Drosophila melanogaster: one gene and its partner. The protein of the gene in region 1 interacts with the protein of each later gene in a pairwise test. Each region holds a gene or a part of one and is shown on either strand. Other genes may lie near its edges.

Region 1 (4,941 bases):
ACAAATTATCCAAAGAAATAACTGACGTATTAATCATTTATTTGTTTTGAATTCAATATTTATCTGAGTTCCTACATTGCGAGCTGTAATTTCATAATCACAGCAATATCTTTTCAACATTTTTCTTTTTTTTTAAAGAAATTTTATTTTTCAAAGTTCTGTGCTTCTATTATTTCTCCAAATTTTAGCTCCCTTTTCCGAATTTGAGCCTAAAATTTCGCGCCAAAAAACCGAATAAAGCCATATAGGTGAAGTGGAAACTGAGAAATAAGGGACACGAGAAGGCACGGAGACGGAAAAGGACATTTTTGCCTGTGTGACAAAATCGCTGACTACGTGTGTGTGCGTGTTTTCCTTCTCGCCATGTAACGCTATCTCGCTTCTACACGCACACACATGAACACAAGCCCGAGACTCCGCCCACTAAGCGATCGCGATGAGATGAGAAAAAAACTCACCACAGTCCGGTAAAAAACGCTCAACTCACTCACTCAGTCATACACACACACACACACATTCACTCGCTCTCCCACTCTTTCTCACCGAGAATGCGCATTCCCTCTGGCACTTGCCTTCTCGTTCTTGCGCACATGAAACTGTGTAAAATGGTCGCCTTGCAGGGGGCGTTGCTTTATGGCCGTCTTTTTCGCACCCATGCGAAAGTGCCGCAGTGTGAGCGAGAGGGAATGCGTTTGTGGATGGAGGTTTTGAAAGCAAGAGTAGAGAAGATGCGACGTTGTAAACGAATTTGCATATTTCTACTGCTTTACGCTTATTGCATATTTTATTCATTACGTTCTGGCGCTTCGGCGGATGAAAACCCAAGAAAAGGCGAAAAGCGAAGGAAAGTGTCATATGGCATTCCGACTACCGTTAGCTCTGCGTGACATCGGTCCTCCCTTTCGCACGCACAATCTTCATCCTTCTTTTTGCTTCTTGTTGAGCTTCTTCCTTTTTTAAGCTTTATAATTTATAAATTCGTTAATATATAAAAAAAAAGTTGCTTAAAATTCTAAATTCTCAGTTCAAGATATAAAAAATTCAACAATTATTCCTACGAAAATCCTTTTAAATAATTTCTTATAAGCTGTTAGCTCAATCTGAATACAGTCCCAACTATCTCTGGTTTTGTATATTTTTTCTGTAACTTAGAATTAATATTTAGTGTTTTTTTTAAAGCTGAGCTTTTTGTTTTTACTTTCATTTGATTACCAAGTATTTCCAACCCAAATATATACATATATATATGGTATATATATTACTTAACTAATAGCTACAATCATATTTACGTCTTAAAAGGATTCTTAGCTGTTTTAATATCTTAAAGCTGTTTCCAGATTTCATATACTTAAGGTCATAACAATGCCAACATCCTAGTTTGTTTTTTATTTGGCTCCTTTTACCCGAAATTGGTTCCACGTATTTCTGCAAATTTGTTTATTTTCGCTTGGCAGCGACTTAATCTGTGCTCCAGTTTTTCGTAGTATCCCCCCCCAAAAAAAATGGACACCATACACACACACATTTAACGGTTAAGCCGTTGTCCTTTTTTCCCAAGAAGTCAAAGGATGCGATTCGAATGTGCGTGAGTTATCCGGCGTGTTGTTATCCTGGCTCGGACCAAATAGGATACAAAAAAAACCTAGCATAAACCGGTTCTGAGTAAGTGCTCAATTACTCACACACACACACACACACATGCAAAGAAGTGCTCACTCAAAACGAAGCGAAACGAGGCGAATTCGTGCCTCTGCCTCTGCCGACGTCGACTGTGCTGCCGTGGTGGGTTTTGTGAAGCAAAGCGTCGAGCAGAGTGGCGAATAGCGTCATTCAAAATTGGAATTCTGTTAGTAAACGTCGACACTTCATATGAAACGAAGAGCGGAGATCACAGCGGAAAATCCAGGGGTGTACGTGGGTTTAAAACGCACAGAGGGATTTCACTCAAAGAAAGAAAGAATACGTTTATACTTATATAGGGTTAGACCAGGAGGGTAGGCTACGTATAAAGACAAGAAGAAGGAAAGCAAAGAAAGAATGGCCTCGCCAAGTAAAGCTGAGAGCATAGAGTGTAGGGATTACACAGAAGGGCTTTAAAAAGAAAATATGTAACCCACAAAATAGCAACTACAAGACTACCCACGACTTGGGTGTCAAAATGCTTGTCATTCGACAGCACGGCGAGGGGGAAAACCTATGCTAAGCTGGCCTTAGCTTTTTTGCCCGCGTGTGGTGAACATAACACGGGCCAACCCACCTCCCCCCACGCGATGGGGATTCCCCACTTTCGCATTCTGCCGGCGTCGCTGCGAACGTCGCTGCCGGCTTCTTGCACTTTGGCGCTCGGCGTCGTCTTGGCCCGGTTATTTGTTGTTTTTTTTTTTTTTTTCGTTTTTCGGGCTTTTCGGCTTTTTGGATCGTTCTCGGCCAGCAGTCGCCGCCTGTCACACGCTCACGTCAAACGCTTTTGCCGTCGCGTCGTCAGATAAACCAAATGTCTCGCCGTGTTTACGTGTGATTCCCCTTTTTTGCTTCAATCCGAAGGCAAAATAAATACACTGACCTTAACCGATACGGCTCACCGTTTAACCGCTAACCGTTAACCGTTTCGTGGCCGTCGACGATAAGGAATCAAGAAACAACATCACCCTGCAGATTCTGTTTTGTTTTGTTTTTTTGTGCAGTCCAGAATTTTTTGAAAACCTGACAAGATTAAAGAAAATTGTGTTTGAAAAGTGCGTAAAGTGTGGAGTATTTAAACTTAAAAAAAAAAACATATATAAAAATCAAACAACAGCAAGGTGGGAGGTCCAAAGAATATAAATAAAAAACACACTGGTTTCCGCCTGAGATTTTCAAAATACCGTTTCAGATCATGAAAACATAATGGTATACAAATATATTATGTTTATGCTGCCCTTGGAAATAAATAGTATACTATCAAAAAAATCTACTCCTTGGTTTTTCCCTACTTGAGAAATGAGAAATTTACAAACATTAAATGTAGAACTACTGATAATTACTTTCAATATTTTGGTGATCCAATGAGTTAATAGGAAAGTCCTTAAACAAAGCGTGGTGGAACTCCTTCCCATTATGATAATCACATCGCATAACACCAGGGAGATTGTCTAGATTGATTGATCCAACCCCCAGGAGATTCCCCATCCCGATCTGCTCAAGCGCAACGAAATCGGAACCATTATCCAATTAGCTAACTCTTTCCGAACCCGTATCATCAGTTTATCGCCTCGTCAATTGTTTTCTCATACTTTTTTCGCTACTTAACTGATGTGACAATTTGTAGCCATTAGCCGGAGGCAGTCAGTCAAACAGTCGCTAGATTTGCAAGTTGTTCAGGCATGACAAAACAAAAAAGAAAAAAAAAAAAAAACTATATATATGCAATGTATGGCGATGGATAAGGGGGGGGGGGAGAGTTGGGGAGCGGGGTTCCGGAGACGAGATCACGATCGCATCTCGACACGCAGCTAAAAGTGTAAATCAGCTCGCCTTCCATTATGTCAACAATCTCTTTGTCTGTCCGTATTATTTACATTTGTCAAATCAAATTTGACAGCTGCGGAAAACATAATATCTCAAGTCGGCGTCTGCGGCACAGTCCGGTTTTTTGTATGGGGCCTTATTCAATAGGGAGGGGATCAAGGGGATTCGCGGAGGAGATCGTAGCCGCCTAGGACCACCGATACAAACTTGTATTCAGAACTGGATTTGTCGCTTCGCTCTGTTGTGCCAAACGAACTGAGCCATGAACACAAGAATGAATACTTGGCCAAGCACTCGATCAATCTGGTCTCACACAAAGTTCTTTCACTTGAAGATGTACAAAAATAATTAGACATTTTTCTATTTATCTATTGTTATACGGAAAAGGATTTAAAACGTGCAAACATTTTGACTACTTGTTCTAATTTCGAAATACTAAGCCTGAAAATCAAGGATATTTATAAATCTAATATTCCAAGCCACTGGCTATTATCATTCGCGTTTACAGAGCAATGTTTTGTAGGAAAGGATTTTCCCCAGCACCAAAATAATTTTCTCTTTCGAGTAGTTTATTGCACTGCTTATTAGCGATTAGTGACTTTTATGACTGTTTAGAAACGTAGTACTCAACCCTTTTCGAAAGTAGGTAACAACCCTTAACCATTTGTATTACATATTAGAGAATGTTTTCTTCTTGTTTCCGAGGGAACATGCATTTTCTTTTTGATCCTCATTTAGTAGGGATTACATTATTACACAGTTGGAAATATATATTGTCTTGATCGAATTACGGAATTAAGTGTTATATATACCTAAAATAGTTCCAAAATACCACAACACATAATACCTATATCTTTTGCTGACTTCACCAATTAATTGGTGAGGTTTCCAGTCGGGGTTGTTCGTTGGTAAGCTGCTAACGGACTTATGACATGGATATGGCTATGATTCGGGAATCACGATTCAGTATTCCGTATTCCGTATTCGGTGGGGTATGTACTGTGTACTCTGCTACTATAAAATGCCAGCTCCATTGTTGTTGCTACAACCGGCGGAAGAAAACGGAAGAGGGGATTGTATTTTTTGGATTTCGGGAATTGGGAATGGCCTGGATGCGGCACTTATCCTTGTTTTTTTTTTTTTTTTGGGGTTGAAGGCAACAAACACACTGCACACTTAACCGATAAATACGCACCACATCTATATTATATGTGTGTGTACATACTCGTATATGGATGCGTGTACGTTTGTACATCCGATGGACAGATCCTTTGTATCCTGCTATCCTGGCTCTATCTATTGACTGACTAACACGCCAGCTGACTTGGCAGGGGAGGAAGAAGCCAAGCGCTGGGGAAGTAGAACCTGGTCCTGCTGTCTCGTGCAAAGCTGACTGACATCCAGCAACTTCCTTTGGCCTCAGACTTCAGCAGC
Region 2 (4,713 bases), on another chromosome or scaffold:
AAAGCAGATGAACATTTTCCCACAGCTGCAGTGGTTGCAACTGAATAGATCTTAATTTGTAGAAAGACCGTTTTTTAAACAAAGGACGTAAGGTTTCCATGTGAAATCAACAGGTTTCTTGGAAAAAGGGTGCTCCTTTGTACCGTGCTGCATTTTCAGCTGCATTTTCCAGACTCGAGCAACAGGTAGAGATTCTTTTGGGAAAACTCTGTGGTAATGCTACCATTTTCGCTGATGCCCTGGTAGAAGAGTTTTCCATTTACACAACAATTTTGGAAAATTCACACGATCGGGACAGATGTATAGATTGCATTTTCCCACAGCTTCACCAGCTGCATCTTCAAATTCTTAGGGCATCCCGCTTTTTTATGATTCTTTTTATGTGGGAGGTCTTCTTTTTCGAAAAGATTTCAGCTGCACTTTCCCATGCCGCGTGCAGGTAGAATTCTTCGGCTTTTCTTCTTAAAATGCTACCGAAATTGCTGTGGGCCTATTACATGATTCTTCAGGGGTGTCTTCAAATTTTAAGAATTCTCACGATCTTTAAAAGATCAAGGATCAGAATAGTTTGATTTTCTTCTTATGCAACAAGTCCTGCCTGCAGTTCTTTGAAGATTTCCAGATTTTCCAGCAACTGCTGTTTTCGTTTCTGATTTCCTGATCGAAAACTTAACAAATTATAAGCAATTTTGAACATTTTCACACGCTGAAAATTCATTTTCCCATAACGTCCCAAAGGGCCAACAATGAAAGGATCAAAGACAGAAAATTCTCACGAATTTTCCCAGTGCTTCCACATGTGCTAGCTACCTGCTCTATCACATTTTCATTCGATTTCCCGTAGTGGCGTGCTAATTTTACTGTCAGCCTGTTAGATATTTTCCGAGGTTTCCCAAGCATCTCTAATATTTCACACGGTCAGCCCGTGTCAAGAGATCTTTTCATGATTTTGGGACTACACCAACCACGATTTTCTTTAGCCTGTGCCGATCATTGTTCTCACGCATCTGCCATCCAGATTGTGGAATCGGGACGGGGAATGTGGAAACGTTAGAATGAAAACCCACACACAAAGCGATCTCTGGTTTTATGTGACTCCAAATTCGAGGAATTATTTCTAAGGCTTGGAATGTTGCAGCGGTCCCTTTGAGTGGCTCAAATTCCAGAAATGGTTCGTGCGGGTACCTGAAAAAGGTCCAAATCCAGTTTGTCATCTTATTTTGCGTTGGTACTCAAGAGTCCACTGAAATGATTCTGTGCTCCTGGTGAATTGGTTGGAACTGGCATCTTTCCTTTTTTACTTCTTTTTTTTTCAAAATTGATAAACCAAGTAATAAACCACGAGGCTTTATAATTTGGATGGAGCAGGTGGTGCTACGAATTCGCTTTATAATCTTCATAAACAATACAATGTTTACCCAGCTGGCAGTTTTTGGTGCTAATTAAAGAGGCTATAAAATCTTTTTAACTATATGTACTTATTTATCTTGGTTTTGCTTAATAATCTACTTAGTTTATATATTTTTATTAATTCGCTTCTGGAAACAGCACTTCAAGTTTTCTTATCAAAACTTTATAGAGCAAAGTACATATTTATAATGCTGGTAATAGTATTTATATTTATTTAAACATCAAAAGCTATACAAATTAATAAATGCTGTAATATTTTCATTGACTCGAATGAATTTGATTTATGTAAGGATACTTTAACTGCTGATCAGGACCTCTACACAGCTCATAGCATTGGTTACAAACTTGAAGGGATTCCGGATGGTATCGTTGCGAGGATTGATCTCCGACAGAGAAACATATGACTTATTCGGACACGATTGCTCTTCAAAGGATCCACAGATCACCTTATTGGAAATGCAGGAGTCGATGAGTTGCAGCGCCAGTTCCACTTTGGAGGTAATAGAGTACACCTGGCCAAAGGAGCACTGCCAGGAGTTCCTAATGCGATTATCAGCCGTGCATTCCGAACTCTTCAGGTTGGTATTGAAAGTATTCTGTGTGGTGATGGTATACTTATTGGCATCACCAATCTGCAAGTGTAAAAAGAAGTCTCAGGATTCTGCTCTTAATAATATAGAAAGTTGTAATACTTACCACCTTGGTTACACAGAGTGTGTAATTTAACTGGGCAGTTGGATGAAGTTTTAGGCATTGTGCCAAACCATTCTTCACGTTATTTTTATAGTAGTTATTCAGGGTGTTGTAGGTGCTCTCAGGTGCATTTAAAATGCCACTAATACTTTCCTTACACTTGATAATGGAGTCCCTGGCCACGGTGATCGTTGGTATAGTAACACTATAGTTCTGTACGCATTGTTTGCTCCAGGAATCGATCAGGATAATGGGATCCAGGTGAGCGGAGGCTTGTTCCAATTTTAGCTGCATCGAATCTGCTTGCACATCGAGCGCATTGATTTGCTTCTGAAATAGCTGCTTAAAATTGGCTAATTCATCTGCCAGCTGTTTGATCTTCGCGTCATATTGCCGCTGATTCTGGAGTATATAGAGATCCATGGACTGGGAGCTGTTCTGCGCCTGGCTAGCCACCAGGCTCAGAAGAGCCAGAATGATTGCTACTCCCAGAAAGCTCTGCATCTTGACTGTGTGCCGAACGATTGGGAAGCCTCTGTTTATATATACTCTCTACTTTCTTATCACTCTACGTACTTCCCCTGCAAAAGTCGTCGTATCAGCTGCGGCTCCCCCATAATGAATTTTATTTGCAAGCTCCGAAATCCGCCTCTATATTTAATTGGCTTTCATTTACTTTTCAACTCAAGAATTGTTTACATAAGGTTTGGCCGTTGTTCCTAAGAATTTGTGTGGTTATCCTCTCTTATCGGGGCCTTTTATAGGCGAAAAGTTAAAAATTAATTACGTGTGCCAACTTAAAGCTCTAAACAAGGTTATTTAATGGGAACGTCAACGTGTGTCAATAAGGAAGTTTTTATTGATTGGGGACTCACACAAAAACAGTTTGTATGAATGGTTCAAAATATCATATTACAAAATGGCAAGAACATTCCTTCTGTTGGGTCTGGTCAGGAAGTGAATACTATGCGAACATTTGTAATTGTTTCGTAAATTGTATTTTTTAACAACCTAATAAGTTGTGCGATAACTTTGAAATACCAGCGTTTTTTTCAACTCGAAAAGGTTGTTCAAAGTGTAGAGCAGTTTCGAAAATGAGTTCCTGAATGAATGTTCAATTTGCTTTCCAAAATTTTATAATTTAAAAGTGTTTGTATTTTCAATGGACAAATCAGTGGGAAGTCACACGGCTTAATCGCGACATAATGAATGTGAGTATTATCAGCGAATGATGCATATATGTAATTTGTAATCTAAATGCTGTTTTCCATACACCTCATAAAAGGCAATCCCCATTTGTTGTTGATCTCAACAAATACTATAATAACAATTTTTAAAAACGCTTTTTCTTATTTGTTTTATTATTTTGCTTGCAAATTTTAATCGAATCTCAATAAAAAGTTTGAAAATTCTTTCTCGCACTTTCACTTGCTGTAATGGATATCTGATTAACAATATGTCGATATACCTTGCTATTTAAATGATTTTGCAAACCTGATCGAATTATTGTCCATAAAAGGCCACTAATTATTGCCACCGCCCACTGCAAATCCACCAAGGCGATTGCGGAACGGAACTTTCTAGTATTTCAGTGTTTTTTTTTTTTGGTTTATTAAGTATACGAATAAATATCATAAAAAATAAAATACAACAAACGCTTAGGTTAGGCGACAATTACAATGCGAAACCGAAACAAACGCAACATTTGCAGGATTAGTTTGATTGAAACGGGCGGATCGGGATCTCACTCAGTGCTGGACCAGTTTGAATCGGGATGCCTCTGCATAATCCCTGGCATCCGAGAAGTTGCGTTCCGGCTTAATGCGCACATCGTTGGGATCGTTGACGAACTCGCCACTCCAAGTGGTGGGCAGTACCGTGGGCTCGGTGTTGTAATCAAAGTAGTCCTGGTCATCGGATCGATTGCGCTCCTGTTTGATGCGGGTCTCGCCACTCTTCACGAAGGTGCCATCCCATTCGGTGGGCAGGACAATGGGTTCCGTGTTGAATCCGTAGAAGTTGTTGGTATTGGTTACGTTCTGGTTCTGGCGACGTATCTTGGACACATTATTGACAGCTCCATCCGGATACACGAACTTGCCGTTCCAGCCCTCGCACTTAATGGGTATGTAGTCCTCTTTCTTGCGCAGCGGCATTTTTGAACTCTGTTTTTGTTTTTACTTTTCCAACAGTTCGATCTATTCACAACGAGATTGCAAACACGATTGAGTCGCATTCGAGCAGGTCTTATTCTAAAATATGATTTCACCTTGTTTGAGCGCAAAACTCGTCATGTAAATGATTGTTATTTGCCGCAGAGAGTCGACCCCCGCGATTTCCATTTGTTTTGCTCGTATTTTGAATCGCTGACGTCAGGGGCGCGGATCTTAACGCGATTTCTTCCGACAGCTTCAAACGGGTTCAGACACTCAGACACTGGCAGAAAATGTTCGATGTCAAACGGGTGAAAAGGTTAAAAAAAGAGGATAAAAACTTCTACATTTCTACTAGAAACAATTTGTAAATGTCTTTGCATGACTAAGAAGTCTTTTCTTTTAGAAGCACTTTTTAAATACTTTCAGTTACGTTCATATGTACATATATTGTTGT

The links.
Region 2: the proteins of bi (region 1) and CG42807 interact in a two-hybrid assay, tested with the Drosophila melanogaster proteins (one large-scale study listed by BioGRID).

Annotation. Positions count from the first base shown.
Region 1 is NC_004354.4:4,411,011-4,415,951, forward strand, and holds the start of bi (bifid), read left to right. Parts: upstream 1-1,845; 5' UTR 1,846-1,910; intron 1,911-2,451; exon of another isoform or gene 2,452-2,889; intron 2,890-4,941. UniProt on the Drosophila melanogaster protein: Essential protein that may function as a transcription regulator. Vital for pupal development. Required for proper development of the optic lobes and wings, and abdominal pigmentation.
Region 2 is NT_033778.4:13,569,924-13,574,636, forward strand, and holds CG42807 (uncharacterized protein), read right to left. Parts: upstream 2,837-4,713; 5' UTR 2,608-2,836; coding exon 2,107-2,607; intron 2,043-2,106; coding exon 1,707-2,042; 3' UTR 672-1,706; downstream 1-671. Other genes in the region: CG42808 (uncharacterized protein), read right to left, coding at 3,852-4,259.